Macaca fascicularis: one gene and its partners. The protein of the gene in region 3 binds, or shares a complex with, the protein of the main gene of each other region. Links are inferred from orthologs where the notes say so. Each region holds a gene or a part of one and is shown on either strand. Other genes may lie near its edges.

Region 1 (4,254 bases), on a different chromosome or scaffold from region 3:
TTCTTGTAAGGACACCAGTCAGATAAGGGTCCACACTAATGACCTCATTTCAATTTAATCACGTCTTTGAAGACCGCATGTCCAAATACAGTCACATTGAGCTACTGGGGATTAGAACGTGAACATACGAATTTTGGGTGGGGGGAACACAATTCAGCCCATTAACATTGAACTTAAGTCTTTTCTCCCCTCCCTCCCTTCCTTTCTGTGTGTATTGAACACCTATTATGTGCCAGACATTCAGCTAAGTGGGGGTAATGGTAAGCAACTGACATGGTCTCTGCCCGGTAAGGTTTACAGTGAGGTAAGACAGTAATTACCAAAGCATAATATTTGCTTTAGAGTATTAATAATATTACTCTTTAGAGTAATAACAAGTGCCATGCAAATATTATGCTTTGGTAATGGATGACAGGAAAGCCTTGCCCTTCCCATCAGGCTCCCAACCCGGCTGGGCGAGTGAAAAGGTTGCGTTATGAGCCAACCGGCTGGGCGCGGTGGCTCACGCCTGTAATCCCAGCACTCTGGGAGGCCGAGGCAGGCGCGAGTTGAGGTCACTAGTTCGAGACCAGCCTGGCCAACACGGCGAAACCCCGTCTCAACTAAAAGTACTAAAATTAGCTGGGCATGGTGGCATATGCCTGTAATCCCAGCTACTCGGCAGGCTGAGGCAGGAGAATCGCTTGAGCCCGGGAGGTGGCGGTGGATCACGCCACTGCACTCCAGCCTGGGCGATAGAGCAAGACTCCGTCTTAATAAAAAAATTAAAACATTGGCCGGGCGCGGTGGCTTTGGGAGGCCACTTTGGGAGGCCGAGACGGGTGGATCACGAGGTCAGCAGTTCAAGACCAGCCTAGCCAAGATGCTGAAACCCCGTCTCTACTAAAAACACAAAAATTAGCCGGGCGTGATGGCACGTGCCTGTAATCCCAGCTACTCCGGAGGCTGAGGCAGGAAATCGCTTGAACCCGGGCGGCAGAGGTTGCAGTGAGCCAAGATCGCGCCACTGCACTCCAGCCTGGGCGACTCCAGAGCAAGACTCCGTCTCAAAAAATAAAATTAAAATTAAAAAAATATATATTTTAAAAACTGAGCTAACCATGAGGTTAACAAGTCAACCACTTGTCAAACTGGGAGACCCGCGTTTGCTACAAAGCAGCAGAGGTCTGGCTTTAACCAGCAGCGAGCGCCACCTCAAACCGCCCTTTTCTATGACGCAGAGGTTCTCCCCCGCCCTCCCTGACTCCGCCTTTTCCCTGCTTGCGGCCCTGCCCCTCGCGTCCTCTCCGGCTTGCTGCGCACCCTCCCAGAACGCGTCTGCCTCGGCCCTAACAATGGGGGTCAGTCGGCCACGCCTGCGCCATAAAGCCTAGGGGGCGGGCCCAGCCGGCGACGGGAGGCGGGGAAAAGCGACGCAAGCAGTCGCGACGCCATTTGCTGCCGCCGAGCGTGGACGCTGGCGGATCTCTGAAGAGCTCGGTTGCGATCCTCTCTCGCGCACGCTGCCTAGCCTCCAGCACCTCCTTGGTCCCGCGCGCTCCCTCGTGTCGCCCCTCGGAGCAGCAACCGCCTCGGTCGCCGTTACCCGGAAAGAAGTCAGAGACCCCGCGAGGTCGCCGCCACCGCCATGCCCAAGAATAAAGGTAATGCCGCCCGGACCCCCGGACCACGGCCCTCCTCGGCTGAGTTTCCCAGGTCCTGCCCGTAGATTGCAGGTCACCCAGGTCGCAGTGACCCTTTTTCCTTCCCACCCTACCTGCCCGCGGCTGGGCGTCCCACACGCGACTCTGAGCTCGGGAGAGGAGCTGGGAAGTAAACTCCTGTTGCCCAGTTTGGCCACATTGGGGTGGAGCCGACGCCATTTTTGTAGGGCCTCCTGCGGGAGAATGGGCTTTTGCTCCTGATTCGCGCCAGACTGACCGCGGCTCGGTGGCGATGGTGGCGGGAACCCTACACCGGGCGGCCTAGGCTTAGTAGATAGGCCCATCTGGCCTTCCCGGGCATGAGGGGTTAATCCCTGGAAGCCGTTCTGAACTTTAAAAGAGTGCTGTCCGCGTTCGTGAGCACCAGGTACTCCTGCATGGGTCTCTTTATGGACAGTTCAGTATTGTTGAGGCTACTCGTTGTCCCTTGTGAACAGTGGGTGAAACCTTGATGCATTTCTAAGGCTCACTTCTAGAGATTTACTCTCTCCATCCCTTTACAGGATATAGCTTATGTTTGTTTGCTGAAGACTTATTCCATATTTAGCCAAGTTTTCTACTTTTGCTTCAGATCATGCATATGTTGTGAGAATAAAGACCTAATTTAAGTTTTCTCCATTCTGAGGCTAAGGATTCACAAATGATCAGACTTGAGGATAACTTTATTTGGGATTTCCAAAACGAAAGGCCTAATCTTAAAAAAAAAAAAAAAAAAAAAGGCGTAACACTTCTAAATAAATTACTTTTATAGATTTACAGTGTTCCTGTCATTTTTAATAGCCTTATAACTTGTTGAAGAAAATTGTGCAAGTAAATATAGGGAAAATATTGTATTTTCCTACAGGAGAGGAGCATACTTCATAGTCCATAAGTAGTCTCCTTTGATTATTCATTCTTAGGAAATCTTTCCCTGACACAGGCCTACTTCTGCTCTCTTTTCTACTTGACAGCTGGCTCCAGGAATTCTACCACATTTCGTCTTTGTAGCTGTCACTTGTTACTTTATCCCTTAGGGTACTTGGTCAGGGTGTTCTGTGCACAAGTTGGTGCAGTCCTCTCGGGGGCTCTCCACCTTGCTGCCCTCAGAGATCAAACTTTTTGTAGCAAGGATTTTCACTGCTCATTATTTTGGAAAAGATCGAGTTATAAACAAAAAATTTTTTAAGTCTTAGGTTTTCTTCTGTATAATCCTTTATTCTCTCTGAGATGGTAAGGGGATCACTTCCATCTTATTCTCATCTTTATTTCTAGTAATAAGATTTTCAATTCTTCCACCAGGCTGTAAGCTCTAAAAGGCAGGAATAGTATCTGTCTTAATCACATTCGATTGCTAGCACTTGCCACTTAGTAGATGCTCAATAAATATTTGTTGGTTTAAGTCACCTTCCTCCTGTCAACTCCACCCTTAGGTGAATAATAGGTTCTGCTTTGGTTCCAAGGGGATAGGACTTCTACACTAAATCACATCTAGTTCCCTAGCCTCATGTCTTAAGAAAGAGCCTCTCTGGGAATTTCTCCAAAACAACTCTGGTTTAAAGAATGTTGATGTCACTTTAATTGTTGTACACTCAGACCTAGTCTCATTCATTCAACAGAGAATTTAAAGAACATCCCATTACATGGCAATAAAATACAAAGGGGAATGATCAGGGTATGGTTAATTCTGGTAAGTTGACAAGTAATGAATGGTTTCTTAAATAATATTTGAGGCATACAAAAAATACAGCTAACATAATGGACCTGGGAACCCAGGGGTTTCTCAGAACCTGGAAACTCTGAATTTAAGAATTACAACGCAAATTGAGGTAAAGCCCTAATCACCTTTTACTCTCTTTTTGGAGGTTATCACCAGGCTGAGTTTGGTGTTTATCATTCCTGTACTGTCTTGAAACCAATCAGTTCTTAGTTATCTTACTTAGAGGAATGGTACTTTTCATGACCCCTGAATTTTTTGAGATAGGTTTTACTAATGTAGAAATAAAGTCATTTATTGTTCTGTTTTTCTGCATTGGAAAATCCAGAAGCCCTGTGAATATAAGCTGTGGTTACACAAGTAAGGGTAAAATTTGCCACATACTATGTGTTAAGTGACTTTTGCTTTGGATTGATTCATATCAACTTATTCTAGAAATTCTTAGAAACCCATCCTCAAATCAGGAAAAGGGGTATCATTTGGCCCACTCATAAGCATTTAGGGTATAGTGCTCCCACACTTTGAAGAAGTTACTGCCTATGATTTTTAACTCACCACTCCGTTAGGAATGTATGGACTATTCTTGACCAATTCATTTGAAGAATTAGTGAACTCAGGTATATAACTCAGGAAACAGAGCAGGTATGATCTTGCCCTAAAGGAGCTTGCACTCTGTTTTGCAGATCTGGCATGATTAATGGCTTCATACTTTTCTCTTTCTAGGAAATTAGTTTCAGTGTTCCCTAAGAATGCCTCAGATACTGAATTCTAAGGACTCTGAGCGGGTCAGGAAATTGTAGAGGCCCCCCTAAAATAGCACAGAGCAATGTGAGACTGCCCCAGGAGAGAGTAAGTGGA
Region 2 (4,297 bases), on a different chromosome or scaffold from region 3:
CCCGCCAACCACGGTTTCAAGGCTCTCTCTGCACGTGTCTCCACCCTCCACTTCCACATGGAGCAGCTCAGTTGTGGCTTGAGGACTCACAGCTCTCGCTTCCCCAGCCCCAGGGTGGGCTTCATGAGTAGCCACAGCCTGTGCCTGGTGCGGTGCAAAGCAGCCTGGTGAACGGCCGTTTTGAGGAGCCACGACCTCCCAGGTGCCCGGGGTCTGAGCGGGGCCAGGAATCAAGCAGGTCTCTGAAGCCCCAGGCCAGTGCTCCAGACACTGAAGGACCATGGCCAACACGATCCTCACAGCCAGGCAAGGCCAGGCCCCAGAGAGGCCAGCCCCAGAGAGGCCAGCCAGGCCTGGGACCCTGCCACAGGTAGCCCTCCTACTGAAGACCGGACAGAGCCACCTAGAGGCCCCCGTCCCAGCACCTAGCTATTGCTGTCTCAGATGTGAGAAGTCGTGAGGGTGCTCCTGTGAGACCTCCCGCCAAGGTCTGGCTGATGCTGCTGTATCCCCTGCCCCAAAGCACTCAGCACCACGGGGTGGTCTCACAGGAAACTGCACCACAGGGCAAGGAGCCACAGGTGCACACCCACCCTGTCCTAGGCAGAAGCCAGGCCCCTCCCCCTGCTCCCCCTCCTACTGGCCTCCTGGAGAAAGTGGCCAATGTGTTACAATGTAATCACAACACAGACGAAGCATTCAAAATCCCGCTGAAAATCGAATTTGCCCTTCCAAATTAACAGATAAGCACTAAGTGAATGGCTAGCAGTTACTAGACCCTTCAGAGCAGGGAACTTATATGAGGCAAAGACAAAAACAACCCTCATCTATCAGAGCCAAGCAAGGCCCAGACACTGCAGCAACCAGGACAGGGCCAAGCACTCCAGGAGTGGCCTGAAGGTCTGCCTTCTGTCCTGCTGGGCACCCGCGACCGGCTGAGCTTTAGCTTCTCGGATCACCACCTTGCTCTGCTGGTTGACAGCACCGACTTCCGAGCAACTTCCTGGCTGAAGGTGAGCAAAGCACTCACCTCTCACAACTCCACCGCACTCATCTCCACAACGGGTGGTCGCCACGACGGCTGGCACAAGAAGCCTGTAAAGGTCCTCCTGCACCCAAACGCAAACTCTCCCAGGCTTGGGGAGGTATTCCCTTCTGCAAGACCCAGGCACCTGCAGTCAGGAGACGCTCACCTGGCCGCACCTGATCTGCCCCAGGCCCCCAGAATGTTTCTGAAGCAAGATCCCAAACCCTGACACATCACACAAGCGCACACCTTCAACCACCCAGTGGTCTAGGGAAGGGACCTCTGAAGGAGCAATCAGGACAAACTCAGGTCCCGTCCTGTCTTCCGCTGCGCAGCTTCTCTACCCAAACGCAATGTTTCTTGTTCTTCAAAAAACATTCGGCGTAGGTCCTATAAAAGGAAACAAACCGAACTCCCCAAAGACAGGCACTTTGCAAACAGAGAAACAAAGCGTAACTTCCAATTATAAAAACGAAACCACTTCATTCTGCGATTCAAGCGTGACTACAGGCCACGATCACAAGCCCAGCTAATCACTCCCTTACCTTCCTCCCACGCACGTTAACTACCAGAGCCAACCACTATTCAACCGGTAAAAACCCATCCCCAAAACAATAAAACTCCCTCCAGCGAGGCGCTCACGTTCAGGGCCCCAGCAAGCGCCAGGGCAGCATCTTCAGAGGCGCAGGAAAACTTAAGACTTGTTTTGGTTTCAAGGCACCGAAAACAAGCCCGCTCGCCGGCCCCCACCCCCGCGAGCCAGCGGTGTTGCAATCCAAGAGTCTCCCCCGCGACCCATCCCCTCCGTCCGCGGGGCGACAGTGACCCCGGAAGCCGCTCCCCGCGCAGAAGGAAGGCGCGGCCTCGCGGGGCCCCGGCTGCAGGTGGCTGCCCCGGCCCCGCGCCAGGAGCACCTCGGGGGCGAAGTGGGGGAGCCCCGGCCCCCAAGGCCTGCGGCGGCCGGGGCGCTCGGGCCGCAGCCCCGCGGCGCCAGCAGCGCGGACCGAACCGGCGCCGAGCGTGGGGCCTCTCGGGCTCCCCGGGAAGCTCGGCCGCGGCGCGGGGCCCGGCTCGGCGGGGCGGGGCGCGGGGCAGCCGGGGGCCCGGGCCCGACAGGAGTAGAGGCCTCGGCCCGACCCCCGCCCCGCGGCCCCGGCCCGGCCCCCGCCCGCGCTCACCTCGGGCGGCCGCGGCCCCGGCGAGCGTCGCGGACAGGTGGAAGACCGAGCGGGGCGGCGGCGGCGGCGCTTCCCTTTGTCTCGGGACTTCCCTCCGGAGCCCGCTCCGCGCGCAGCCCGAGCAGCTCCGAGGACCCTGGCGCGGGCGGGGCGCGCGGGGCGGGGCCTGGTGCAGGGCTGCCCTCTGCACGCCTGCCTCGCGCGCTGCCACCGCCGCCCGGCCCCGAGCACCGCCCGCGCCGCCGCGCGCCCCCCGCTGCCCGTGCCCCGCCGCCGCGCGCCCGCGCCCCGGGTCCGCCCCAGGAGCCCGGCCGGGGGGGTGACTTTTCAGTCAGGCGGCGCCCTGGACACCTACGCCCTTAAAGGAGCCGCGTCCCCGATGTGAGGGAGCGTCTGTAAACTCCCCTTCGGGGTGCCCGCGTCCACCCGAGGACACGCCGGCGAGCAGCGGGGGATAAAGGAGGCCGAGATCTCCAAAAGCTCCCCGGATGCCCGGCGGTCACCTCTCCAGGCACAGGTCTCCGAGGTTTCCTTGGGGTCAGAGCCTGGGGCCGGGGGGCAAAGACCACTGAGGCCTAAGGATTCCCAGAAGCGTCGCAGGACGGTGACGCTCCCGCGAGTTCAGCGCCCTGTGAAACCTCTTGCAATTGGCCATTTCTGGGCGGTGGGCGGAGAGACCTTCTCATCTGCCCAATGAGCCGACCCCGTACAAAAGGCCGAAAGCGAGCATGACCGACGGGAGGAGAAGTGTGGATGCTCCCTAATCCGGGGGCGGGCCCTGGGCGGGGGCGGGGCGTGGGGAGACTACGAGCGGCGGGGGCGGGGCGAGCCCTTGGGGGAGGGGCGCTTCCGGGCAACAGCCCCCCACCCCCCGCCCACGCAACTCCCGAGACCGGTCGAGAGGCCCCCAGCCCCGCGAGCGCGCGGGATACTCCGTTCGCCAACGCGCGGTCGTGCTGGCCCCGGGGCTCTCCCGGTCCCCCCGCCCCCCATTTCGCCGACGGCGGGGCCGCCGCCAAGGTCACGGTGTCCGGGTGCTTGGGGACCGCGGGGACTGACCACATTCATTCATTCCCTCCCTCATTCATTCATTCCCTCCCCCACTCACTCATTCCCTCTCTCCCTCATTCCCTGCCTGACTCATTCATTCAATCCCTCCATCACTCAATCATTCCTTCCCTCCCTCACTCATTCCCACCCTCATTCATTCCCGCCCTCATTCATTCCCGCCCTCATTCCCTTTCGCACTCATTCCCTCCCTTACTGCTTCATTCATTCCTTCTCTCCCTCACTCATTCCCTCCTTCATTAATTCCCACCCTCCCTCATTCCCTCCATCATTCATTCCTTCCCTCCCTCACTCATTTCCTCCCTCATTCATTTGTTCCTTCTCTCCCTTACTCATTCCCTCCCTCACTCATTCATTCCTCCCTCCCTCATTCCCTCCCTCACTCATTCATTCCCTCCCTCACTCATTCCCTCCCTCACTCATTTCCTCCCTCGTTCATTCGTTCCTTCTCTCCCTTACTCATTCCCTCCCTCACTCATTCATTCCCTCCCTCCCTCATTCCCTCCCTCACTCATTCATTCCCTCCCTCACTCATTCATTCCCTCCCTCACTCATTCCCTCCCTCCCTCACTCATTCCCTCCCTCCTTCACTCATTCCCTCCCTCCTTCACTCATTCCCTCCCTCCCTCCCTCATTCCCTCCCTCCCTCATTCCCTCCCTCACTCATTCATTCCCTTCCTCACTCATTCCCTCCCTCACTCATTTCCTCCCTCCTTCACTCATTCCCTCCCTCACTCACTCATTCCCTCCCTCCTTCACTCATTCCCTCCCTCACTCATTTCCTCCCTCACTCATTCCTTCCCTCATTCATTCATTCCTTCCCTCCCTCACTCATTCCCTCCCTCCCTCATTCATTCCCTCCCTCACTCATTCCCTCCCTCACTCATTTCCTCCCTCCTTCACTCATTCACTCTCTCCCTCACTCATTCCCTCCCTCCCTCATTCCTCCCTCCCTCACTCATTCCGTCACTCATTCCCTCCCTCACTCGTTCCTTCCCTCATTCATTCATTCCTTCCCTCCCTC
Region 3 (3,571 bases):
AGTGCATGGGTCACCTAGGGGAAGAAGTGGTTTGCTGAACTCTCTCATGAATGAAAAAGGAGGATATCCTGAATTCTAGGGATCATCTCAAAGGAAGCCTCAAACTGCAAAGCAGAGATATCACAAGTGCTTCATAAGGTTACAAAAACTTTGTAGACTTAAAAAAAAAAATCACCCCCTATCACTGCTCTGTAAAACCAAGGCTATGGACTAGCCTCTGAAGAAGAGCAGATGTTATCTCCTCCAAATAGGCTTGAGGTAGGGAGCCCCAAGGAATGCACAGATGCAGGCTTAAGCTGCTCTGCCAGCTTACGGAGGAGTAGAGAGCAGACTGAGGTCCTGGGAGGTGAGGAAAGGCAGGATGATGACTACCATGTAAAGAAGCAGCTCTGTGGGATGACAGTGGCCCAGGTGTGGTCTAAAGCCAAGAGGCTAACTGAAACTGGGTTGGGGAGTTAAGCAAAGAGGCCACGATGCCCATGGCTTCCTTTTCTCCTGGAGAAATCCTGGAGGGAGTTCTGGGAATAGCAACCAAAGCAGTCTTTGTAAAGAACTTTACAATATGCAAACTACCTTCACTTAAGACCACATCTGCTATCCAGCACAGTTCTATGAGTTGAGTAAGCCAGACATTTCAATGTTCTCAGTTTTTAATGGGAAGCTGAGGCTTGCCCCAGATCAAGCAGCTTCTAAGTGGTCACCCCAAAACCTGTGCCCAAGCTTATCACAAGACTTATCACACTGCTTTGTGACAATCTGAGCAACTTGAATTTCCTCTGCACTGGGAGCAACTTGAAGGCCAGAACTACTACATGTGGAGGATGTCATGAGCATCCTTAGTGCTCACAGGGGACAGTAAATGTTGAAGTAGAAGGCCCTACAGAGCTGGAGGTTGAACAGGGGCCCATAATAACATCACTTAAGGGTTGAAGGATATAACGTCAATGTCCCTCATGAGGCTGAGGAATCTCAATGACATCACCCTAATTGGGCTGGGGACAAGGACAACATCACACACAGAGTTGAGTGAGATAATGACATTGCTACCTACAGAGTGAGGCAATTATAGGTCATTCATGGAGTCAGAGGACCAAATATATCACCCCCACGGGGCAGGGAGAACAATGACAACATTACCCACAGAATTGAAGAGTGACAATGACATTCCCACAGGTGGGGGTGGGGGGATGGCAAAGACAATGTCACCCACGGGGTTGGGTCCCTGTGGCACTGGCAGCTTCCGAAGCTCAGGGCCTTCGTGATCATCCTCATGATGACTGATGTCCAATGTGGTGAAGAGGTTGGAGAGAAGCCCCAAGATGTGAACAATGGCCAGCTTGTTGGAGGGATTGGGCTGCAGGGAGAAGCAAACCAAGCTCCAGATCTCCTAGCCCCAGTTTGGTCCCCAGATCACTGAGCCCCAGCTCTAAGGGCCAGCTCCACCTTCACCCCTCATCAGCCACAGCGTACCAGTACTGCTCCCGGCCCCCAGAGCTCACTCACTATCTCCTCTGCCAGCTTCTCCAGTTGCTGGATATAGGGTGAGATAAGCGAGTGCAGGTTCTTAAGAATCTCCTCCACTTGAAGAGCTGACAGCAGGAAGCCCAGCGCCTGCATCAGCCACATGCACTGGCTTGTCTGTGGGGCAGAACATGGATGGTCAGTCCTGGCCACATCTAGTTGTGGGGTAAGAAGGAAAACGGGCCTCTTGGGAGAAGAAAAACACAGAGAATAAGGGGTAAGAGGAAGGGGAAGGCCAAAAAACAGGATTTCAGGGATAAGAGATTCCCACAAGACCCCCAAGGAGACCCCTAGAAACTTCTGAGCCGCACCTTGTGGATCTGTTTCATCAGCACATCCTGCGGGGGAGAAAGAAGGAATGTAGTATCAGCACAGTGCAGAGTGTGCTCTGAAGCTCAGTACCATCCAGGGCCCCTGCATACCTGGGACACGGCCACAATGTTGGCAGCATAGGGAGGCAGGTCATACTTGCACTCTCGGCAGATCTTCTTGAGGGTAGACACAGAAGAGACAGAGAGCTCAGGATTGCCTAGGGCATGCAGTACCAGGGGCAGAACACTGTTGATCATGACGGGGTGGTCAGCCAGCCATTCAGACAGAGCTCCTGGAGGAAGGAGGGAGACAGAAGGATCTTTGAGGCAGGCCAGACTGGCTTTGTACCATGTCTCTGAGGCAAGCAGAGTTCCTGGCAGGGTCAAGTTGCAGCCCTAGCACAGAGCACTGCTCCATTCAGAGGACATATGCATGTGCATGCTCAAACATGAGCCTTACAGCTGAGAAGCAGGGAGAGGTTACTCAACAGAAGCCCAGTACTGCTGTTTCACTGACAGTAAACTAGCCTCACTGAATTCAGCTCAGTGTGCCATCAGATGGACCCCCTAGACCTGCCAGGACAGTCAGTTTGTTACAACACTGATTGTGTGTAGGCACATGGCTCTCCCATTCTGGATAGAATCCAGCATGCTGGCTGTGGCCGGGGTGGGGTGCTGTGGCTCTGGGAATATGGTCATGGGTGTGTGCCAGGTCTCACCAATGGTGAACATGACAGTGTCTGCCAGCTGCACGTTGCTGATGCTGATCCGTGGGATGAGGCCAATGAGCCCAGGCACCACATCAGAATAGTTGACGTCAATGGTCTCTGCGATGGATTGGAAGCCGTAGAGGAGGGCCTCTGTGTGCTGGGGAAAGAGGGTGCCACTGGCTTGGATGAGGAGGAGGGTGTGACAGGTCTGGGAGGGCTGAGGGAATCAGGCTTGGGAGGTACCTGCCAGGAGTAGGGCTCCTCTGAGCTGGTGAGCAAACGACCCAGCTTGTCATAGAGGTTGCTGAGCAGCTCGGCCCCCAACATCTCATAGACATACATGAGCGTGTCTGAGATGTCCACCCTGAGAAGCAGATGAAGGCCTTTTATACTGCCTGGATCCTGACCCTGGATCCTGCCCCCAAGCCCAGGAGCCTACCCCAGTACCCCCACAACTCTGCAACAATGCCTAGAAAACAGAGAAAGGAGCCCCAAAATTCAGAAAGCCTGGCCTTGGGCCCCTTCCCTCATTGCCTTCATTATTTCTGGACTCCATTTTAGAGGAGCTGGCCTGCTACCATCACCTGTAAATTCGGAACTGCTCCTTCTCGTCTGAGGACCAGAATCCATATTCCTCATCAGAAGGGAACTGGGCCTTGTGCAGAAGCACATCCACCAGCTGGAAGTAGACTGGCCGGTACACCTGCTGGTATACAGCCTGCTTCTCTGCCTCAAAGGATAGAATATCATCCTGAGAGAGCCAGGGAAGACAATTAGCCACCTCACCAGCAGCCATAGAAGCCCATGATCCACCTTCTTCCACCACAGCCCAGTCCTACTGGAGGTCACACAGACACACCTGCAGCGTGTACCAGAAGGTGAGGGTTAGGGAGCTGGTGGTCTCATTGACAGGATAGTGGCCAGGGATGCCTGTGCAGAACATAATCATGTTGACAAGTGCCAGGAAACTCTGCCAGTGCTCTACTTGGTCCAGCAAGGCCCTGGGGAGGAGGAGACACAGTCAGGTCA

Evidence for each region.
Region 1: the proteins of IPO13 (region 3) and EIF1AX are in contact, whole or in part, in a crystal structure (PDB 3ZJY), measured with the Homo sapiens proteins. The link is inferred for Macaca fascicularis from reciprocal best matches to the Homo sapiens genes IPO13 and EIF1AX. Residues at the interface, in NP_055467.3 of Homo sapiens: Tyr365, Asp369, Leu372, Asn936, Lys937, Arg938; in NP_001403.1 of Homo sapiens: Leu42, Arg82, Lys88, Tyr106, Gly107, Glu108.
Region 2: the proteins of IPO13 (region 3) and UBE2I are in contact, whole or in part, in a crystal structure (PDB 2XWU), measured with the Homo sapiens proteins. The link is inferred for Macaca fascicularis from reciprocal best matches to the Homo sapiens genes IPO13 and UBE2I. Residues at the interface, in NP_055467.3 of Homo sapiens: Leu33, Tyr34, Tyr35, Asp36, Pro37, Ile39, Lys42, Gln46, Glu73, Tyr76, Gln178, Thr179, Arg181, Gln231, Glu261, Val264, Asn265, Met302, Glu303, His306, Arg310, Val313, Glu317, Asn318, Thr355, Ser358, Leu359, Leu361, Thr362, Ser413; in NP_003336.1 of Homo sapiens: Arg13, Lys14, Arg17, Lys18, Asp19, His20, Pro21, Phe22, Val25, Val27, Lys59, Glu99, Asp100, Lys101, Asp102, Arg104, Lys110, Gln111, Leu114, Ile125, Gln126, Pro128, Ala131, Tyr134, Thr135, Cys138, Gln139, Ser158.

What each region holds. Positions count from the first base shown.
Region 1 is NC_088395.1:20,005,265-20,009,518, reverse strand, and holds the start of EIF1AX (eukaryotic translation initiation factor 1A, X-chromosomal), read left to right. Parts: upstream 1-1,420; 5' UTR 1,421-1,627; coding exon 1,628-1,643; intron 1,644-4,254. UniProt on the Homo sapiens protein: Component of the 43S pre-initiation complex (43S PIC), which binds to the mRNA cap-proximal region, scans mRNA 5'-untranslated region, and locates the initiation codon. This protein enhances formation of the cap-proximal complex.
Region 2 is NC_088394.1:2,054,404-2,058,700, reverse strand, and holds the start of UBE2I (SUMO-conjugating enzyme UBC9), read right to left. Parts: upstream 2,835-4,297; 5' UTR 2,561-2,834; intron 2,344-2,560; exon of another isoform or gene 2,206-2,343; intron 1-2,205. UniProt on the Homo sapiens protein: Accepts the ubiquitin-like proteins SUMO1, SUMO2, SUMO3, SUMO4 and SUMO1P1/SUMO5 from the UBLE1A-UBLE1B E1 complex and catalyzes their covalent attachment to other proteins with the help of an E3 ligase such as RANBP2, CBX4 and ZNF451.
Region 3 is NC_088375.1:190,801,763-190,805,333, forward strand, and holds part of IPO13 (importin-13), read right to left. Parts: intron 3,544-3,571; coding exon 3,402-3,543; intron 3,294-3,401; coding exon 3,127-3,293; intron 2,907-3,126; coding exon 2,786-2,906; intron 2,700-2,785; coding exon 2,552-2,699; intron 2,126-2,551; coding exon 1,944-2,125; intron 1,860-1,943; coding exon 1,833-1,859; intron 1,639-1,832; coding exon 1,504-1,638; intron 1,355-1,503; coding exon 1,211-1,354; intron 1-1,210. UniProt on the Homo sapiens protein: Functions in nuclear protein import as nuclear transport receptor. Serves as receptor for nuclear localization signals (NLS) in cargo substrates.